Sus scrofa: one gene and its partner. The protein of the gene in region 2 purifies or fractionates together with the protein of the main gene of each other region. This does not show direct contact. Links are inferred from orthologs where the notes say so. Each region holds a gene or a part of one and is shown on either strand. Other genes may lie near its edges.

What was found. Proteins that work in one complex are often made in the same cells at the same time.
Region 1: the proteins of STRN (region 2) and CCT6A purify together in Homo sapiens (affinity purification with mass spectrometry; 3 studies listed by BioGRID and IntAct, with this or other methods). This does not show direct contact. The link is inferred for Sus scrofa from reciprocal best matches to the Homo sapiens genes STRN and CCT6A.

The regions. Positions count from the first base shown.
Region 1 is NC_010445.4:16,848,747-16,852,396, forward strand, and holds part of CCT6A (T-complex protein 1 subunit zeta), read right to left. Parts: intron 2,826-3,650; coding exon 2,715-2,825; intron 2,434-2,714; coding exon 2,274-2,433; intron 2,196-2,273; coding exon 2,113-2,195; intron 51-2,112; coding exon 1-50. UniProt on the Homo sapiens protein: Component of the chaperonin-containing T-complex (TRiC), a molecular chaperone complex that assists the folding of actin, tubulin and other proteins upon ATP hydrolysis.
Region 2 is NC_010445.4:103,248,692-103,252,441, forward strand, and holds the start of STRN (striatin), read left to right. Parts: upstream 1-1,134; 5' UTR 1,135-1,278; coding exon 1,279-1,512; intron 1,513-3,750. UniProt on the Homo sapiens protein: Calmodulin-binding scaffolding protein which is the center of the striatin-interacting phosphatase and kinase (STRIPAK) complexes.

The DNA of each region.
Region 1 (3,650 bases), about 86 Mb from region 2:
TTAGGTCATCAAGAGAATTTAGGGCTACCCCACCACAAGCAAGAGTCAGCCTGGAATATTCAAGTGTTTAAGGGAGATGCAGAGGTGACATTGTTAGTTACACTTAAAAAGATTAGTAACTTTTAAAAAGCAATCTTCTTCGAAATTATATACTAAAAGCGTATTTTTTTTTTTTTTTTTTTTAGGGCCACCTGTGGCATACAGAAGTTCCCAGGCCTACACCACAGCCACAGCAACACAGGATCCAATCCGCATTTTCGACCCATGCTGCAGCTTGCGGCAACACAGGATCCTTAAGCCACTGAGCAAGGCCAAGGATCTAACCCACACCCTCATGGACACTAGTCAGGTTTTCTTAAACCTCTGAGCCACAATAGGAAGTCCTATAAGCATATTTTAAAATATATTTTAGCTTATGCTTTTCCATTCACCAGGAACCAGTTAAAAACTGGTCTTTTCTCCTAACTCTCCATTTAACCATGTTACCCAAGTCAATTCAGAGGAGCAAATACTGCTTTGAATTCAAAGGTTCACAAGAGCTATCCACCATGGTAAGCTCTTTGGGAGAAAGTACTTCTCCAAAAATCCTTGATGCTGTCTCTGGACATGTGAAATTACGTACAGTACAGGTCATGATTTAAAAATGAGTAGAAGAGTTCCCATCATGGCTCAGCAGAAACATATCTGACTAGTATCCAAGAGGATGTGGGTTCAATCCCAGGCCTTGCTTAGTGGGTCGGGGATCTGGTGTTGCTGTGAGCTGTGGTGCAGGCTGGAAGCTGTAGCTCTGATTCGACCCCTAGCCTGGGAACTTCCACATGCTGAGGGTGCAGCCCTAAAAAACAAAACAAACAAAAAATGAAACAAAAAAACCACAAGTATATATCAACACTCATAGCAGCACTACTCACAACAGCCAAAAGGTAGAAGGACAAAATAAATGTCCATTGACAGATAAATGAATAAACAAAATAAAGAGATCCCGATACAGGCTACAACATAAATTTTGAAAAGATTATGCCAGGTGAAATAAGCCACGCAAAAGGATAAATACCTCATGATTCCCTTACACCATGTACCAAATTTAGAGAGACAGAAAATGGAATAGTATTTACTAGAGAGGGTATGCAGTTATTGAGTACAGACTTTCAGCTTACAAGGGAAAAAGTTCTTGAAATGAACAATGGTTGTACAACACTGTGAATGTGCTTCTGCTTTTCAGGGCCACAACTGTGGCTCAGGCATATGGAAGTTCCCAGGCTGGGGGTTGAATCAGAGCTGCAGCTCCACCTGCCAGCCTGTGCCACAGCCACACTGGATCCAAGCTCCATCTGTAACCTACATCACAGCTCACAGCAACACCAGATCCTTAACCCACTGAGCAGGGCCTGAGATCGAATGTGCATCCTCATGGATACTAGTTGGGTTGACTACTGCTAAGCCACAACAGGAACACCAACGCTGGATTCTTAACCTGCTGCAACACCAGGTAACTCCTGAATGTAATTTAATGACAAAGAATTGCACATTTTAAAACACAGGTAAGGAGTTCCTGTCATGACACAGCGGAAACGAATCTGAGTAGGGATCATGAAGTTGCGGGTTTGAACCCTGGCCCTGATCAGCGGGTTAAGGATCTGGCATTGCCATAAACTGTGGTGTAGGTCGAAGACGCGGCTCAGATCTGGCATGGCTGTGGCTGTGGTGTAGGCCGGCAGCTGTAGCTCCGATTCGACCCCTAGGCCTGGGAACTTCTATATGCCACAGGTGTGGCACTAAAAAGCAAAAAACAACAACAACACAAAAAACCCCACAGGTAAAATGACATATTTTATATTACGTACATTTCATTGCAATAAAAAAAAAAATCAGAAAACCACAAGAACAGGAGTTCTCCTGTGGCACAGTGGGCTAAGGATCCTGTGTCGTCACTGGAGTGGCTCAGGTTTGATCCCTCATCTGGGAACTTCCACATGCTACAGGAGTGTCAAAACAAAAACCAAACCAAACCAAACAAAAAACCCCACAAAAATATGAAGGGGGGAAAGCAATAATCCAAGTTAACTTGCAAAATAAGTGAAATTCAGGTCACAGATAACCTGCTGTCCGTACCTTTCCATGTTTCTCCTCTTAGCTCTACGTAGAGCTACTATGCCTTCTTTTGCAAGAGCATCTAAGGAAAAGGGGTCAATTCCCTATAAGAATAAAAGTAAGCTTCAATATAATTCACCTTAAAATAAAAGCAGACTAATTTATAAAGCAAAATTTCTCACCTTTTGATTAATAACAACAAATCCTTTATCTGAATCACCACATACTTTCTTCTTCAACTCTACTATTTTCTTAACTCTATCTTCAATGAATTTTCTTTCAGCTCTTACTAGTTTCTCTCTCTCTTCTGCACTCTTATAAAAAAAGCCAGAATTCACTTCTCTAAAAAAAGAAATTACAAAAATCAGAGGAAAGTATTTATTTTTTGAGTAGACAATAAGCCAGCAGCCTTAGAAACTGAGTCAGTCCTGAGCTTTAGCAAATAGTCACTGAGCTCCACACCCCCCCACCCCCCGTATGTTTTCAGAGGCTATTTCCCATACTTTTTTGACTGAGGCATTACTGTCCTACAGTGGGGAAACCGAGTCTCCCAAAAAAAGTGACTTGCCCCATATACCAAGCTCCTCCACCCTCCTTTCATCTTTAAGGAGCTATAAACTCACGTTTTTTCATATTCCAATGACACATTGCACGTGAGGATGTATGCATCTTCTACTCTCTTTTTCATGTCCGGATGCCGTGCCCCATGGTCCAAAACAAGACCCCTGATCAAGCTGTTCAAACACATACAAATTATATTCTTACTAATTTCCACATGGGGGAAACATACATTAGCAAAATTAAAACAGTGAACTGAGACTGTATTGGAAAATTTTTACACAATAAGCTTTATCTCTTAAGCTCTCTGAATAGGACTTTTGGGTAATACCCAGGGAGGTTCACTGTGAAAAGCAATATTCCAGAAGACACAACAAAAATAACCCATTCAAATGAAAGTAAAAACCCTGTCTTGGACAGAAAATTCTACAGAGAAATTGTCATAATTGGTAGGCTCCTAAACTGTGATCACCTCCCTTAAAGTCTTCAGGGTTCCCATCATGGCTCAGTGATTAATGAATCTGACTAGGAACCACAAGGTTGCAGGTTTGATCCCTGGCCTCACTCAGTGGGTTAAGGATCCGGCACTGCTGTGAGCTGTGGTGCAGGTTGAAGACGCAGCTCAGATCTGGCATTGCTGTGGCTCTGGCGTAGGCCGGCAGCTATAGCTCTGATGGGATCCCTAGCCTGGGAACCTCCATACGCCACAGGTGAGGCCCTAGAAAAGACAAAAAGACCAAAAAAAAAAAAAAAAAAAAAAAAAAAAAGTCTTCAAAGTAGGCCTTTAAAATAAATTTAAAAATTCCAAGTCTCTCATATGCTTTGCACAAACGTTCAACAAATGCCAAATGGCTGATGCAGCTGACTTTCCCCAGAATCATTCTGACTATAAATACACCACACCATGAACTTCATTTCAAGAAGAAATACTAAGTTAAATATTCATCTTTGGAGGTCCCATCTTGATTCAGCAGAAACCAATCTGACTAGCATCCATGAGG
Region 2 (3,750 bases):
ATTTAGAGAGAAACACTTGAAAGGACTTTGATGGGCCTTTGGTAGATTAATACTATTGCCAGATTGCAAGTGAAACGTGGAAGAAACTGGGAACCGGACAAGTGAAAAAGGAGAGGTGCCCGGATACCTAAGATAGCTCTAGGGAGTAGAAAGGGATTTTGTTCTTTTAAATAGTGTAACTTTAGGGCATTGCGAGAATTGATTGTATAGTTGCCAGTCTGCCTTTGAAGACAGGAACTGTGTCATTTATCTTTATATCCCCAATGAGATAACTTACAGTCAAATATTTGTTGAAATGTGTACCGACTGCTCAGGGATAAGGAAAAATGAGTTCGAAATAAAAGAGCCTTGGATATTTGTAACGTTTACAGGATTTACTGCAAGCTATAAAGGAGGTGAAGCAGAGCCCTGTTTTAGATGTGGTGTCACCAAACCAAAAATTGCAAGAAACAGAAAGCTGCTGTGTTGCGTTCAGGACAGAGAGATGATTAGTTCCTTCTAAATGAAAAGTGATCAGGCAACAGGTTTGACTGAACCTCTAGCGAGAAAAAAGGCAGGAACGACCGCGATAAGGAGATGGACAGAAGTGGAGTGTCTTGGGTCAGAGAATCACTCTAGACAGAGCAGAAGGGAGAGGTCCGAGCGTGCTGGCTAGAGAATCCCGGGCCATGGGGTCGGACCGGCGAAGCTTGCTTTGAGCTTGTTTCTTAACAGAACTACCAGGAAGCCGTAGGAGATGTGCAGCTTAGGCTGGCATTTCGGCGCGGTAACTTCCGTGTGTGTGTGTGTGTGTGTGTGTGTGTCTGCAACAGTGAGCGCCTTGTGTGTGTGTGTGTATGCGCGCCACAGTGAGCGCCGCCCAAGAACTTCCGCGTGCTAGGGAGGCTGGAGGACCGCCAGCCAGCCCCTGCTTAACCAAGAGGAAACCCGCGCTCCCCGCCGGGGGCCGCCCCTTCTCCGCCATGGGCTGGGGCGGGCCCGGGGGCGGGGCCGCGGTGGAGCCGCAGCCGGTCGCAACCCCTCAGGCAGCCCGGGCGGTGCTCGCCGGCACCACGCCCCGCGACTACATTTCCCAGCAAGCCCCGCGCCGCCCGCGCACCGCAGTTGACCCATTTCCCGGCCCGTCCCGAGCTCGGCCGGCCCCCGCGCCCAGGCGGCTGCTCCCTGCTGACTGGGGTGTGGGCGGGGAGCGGCGGAGGGAGGAGGAGACGCTGCTGGCCGCCGCCGTTGCCTCAGCTGCTGGGCGCCTGGGCAGCTCCCCGGGTTCCTGCGGCCGCCATGGACGAGCAGGCGGGTCCCGGCGTCTTCTTCAGCAACAACCACCCGGGCGCCAGCGGTGCCAAGGGTCTCGGGCCTCTGGCGGAGGCTGCCGCGGCCGGCGACGGGGCGGCTGCGGCGGGGGCGGCGCGAGCCCAGTACAGCCTCCCGGGAATCCTGCACTTCCTTCAGCACGAGTGGGCCCGCTTCGAAGTGGAGAGAGCCCAGTGGGAAGTAGAGCGGGCGGAGCTGCAGGTAAAGACCCTCCCGGCCTGGCCGTCTTCATCCCGCCTCTCCGCTCTCTTCCGCCCCGCCCCGGACCCTTCCCCCTCCCCCGCTCCGCTCGCTCGTCCCCTCCCCCTTTGCTCCAGCCCATCCCACCCAGAACCTCATCCCCTTCCTCCCTTCACCTTTGCCTTTAGGTGACCCCACTTCCTCGACCCGGGTTCCCACTCCCAGCTCCCCCCCCCATGCGTTGTTTACCCTCCCCGCACCTTTTCGTCTGCTCCTTCCCACTCTTAACTCTCAGGCTTGTTTGAACTCTCTCGCCATTCCACATTTTAGGTCTTCCCTTTCAGTTTACTAATTGGGCTGACAGTAGTTTTGAGAGATGAGCAAATCATCCCCTATCCTAGTGAGTGGCCCTCCTAGGTCTAGAGAAGATGCCTGGAAAAGGTATTGACAGTTGGCGCCTCTCTGTGAGGAAGGCGATCAGAGAAGACAACAGAAGTTGTATCCGTGAGGCCTTGACTTTAAGGCAAGAAGCTGCCGTTGGGTCAAAGTGTTACTAGGAATATCTGCTCCCTTTTTATATATGTAAATGTTTCTTCTTTTACTTCTTCCTCATCCCATCCCGCGTTTCTTTTAGATATTTCAGACTCGTGGATTTTGAATGAAGAATCTAGATAGATAATCACAGTCAGATAATGGTTCAGAGATGGTTTCTTGTTCTCAGAATCTAAAACTTCCCAAGGGTTAATTTTATGTTCAGGGTTTTGTGAGACTGACTTGTACTTTAAAAGGAACTAAAAGGAGCTTCAAAGTTGGTTACATTTCCTTGCATAATCTACAAGATAAAGTATATCCAGGGAGGAGCTATTGTGGGATCTTGGAAGAATGAAAGTGAGGCTGATACTTTGCAGGCCATTCTGAACTGGTAAGTAGGTTTCAGTGGCTGTTTTTAAAACTTCCAAGGCATACACTAATTTCACAAGGAATTTAAAGAACTACGAGTGGCTCTGCCTTTCTGTCTTTCTGGCTAATCCTGTATGCTTGTGAAATCTGAGTATAGTTTTGGTTGGTGAAACACTTGAAGTTAAAGTGCTACCCACTGTGTCACTTTTTTTGGTACCATGTATTTTCTTTGGCACTTAAGAGGAAAGAAGAAACAATCATGTTAAATAGAATCATGTGCTGTAACAGGCTGCTTTGGTGTAGTGCAAGTGGTTGTGGAAAGAGCAAGCAGAAGGGGTTACAGTATAAGCTGTGCTTGCTGCCTGCTCTTTGACCTTGAGGAAATCCTTTAACTTTTCTGAACTTCAGTTTCATCATTTATTTATTCAGCGTATTTATTGAATGCGTATTTATTGAGTAACTGTAGTTACTCCTCAGTTTTGCCCTCTCTACCTTACCCCCTCCCTGCCCCAATATATACACACACACTACTTACTGGGTTATTTATGGCAAATGTTAAACTTCAAGTAGGTTTCCCATTGGTGCTTATACTAAGGGCACTACATTTTTACAGTATCTTGGTTTGTGCTCCAGTTCAATTAAGCATCCATGGAGAAACTTAGAAAATGTGCCATAGTTTTTTGTTTTTTGGTTTTTTTTTTTTGGTCTTTTGTCTTTTGAGGGCCACACCTGCGGCATATGGAGGTTCCCAGGCTAGGGGTCTAATTAGAGCCGTAACTTTTGGCCCATGCCAGAGCCACAGCCACACCAGATCCAAGCCATGTCTATGACCTATACCACAGGTCATGGCAACACCGGATCCTTAACCCACTGAGCGAGGCCAGGGATCGAACTCACAACCTCGTGGTTCCTAGTCGGATTCGTTCCGATGCGCCATGACAGGAATTCCTGCATAGTTTTTAAACAGAGCAAATAGGCATTTTGGGAGGAGGGAGTTTCCAGGAATCTGTGGTTTTTGACCTCCTTATTAGTATAATTGAATATATATTTTAAAAATAATTTCTTTATATCAACATCATTAAATTCGACCATATCCCTTCTTTTTTCCATCAGAATCTTTCTAGTAGGAAATAAGAATTGAATGAATGGTAATGAAATTTGGAACAGTTGGTATCATCTTTTTAATTTTTAAATCTCTTCTTAAGTCAATACCAGAGTCAACAAAAATACTTTTAAGATTAGGTCTGATTTTTCTCTTCAGGAACCTGTCAGTCCTGCTCTTTCAAGTTGCCTGGGCAGAGTTGTGAAAGGCAACCCAAGCTCTCATCTCCCTGGCTTGCTTACACCATATCCTCCGTC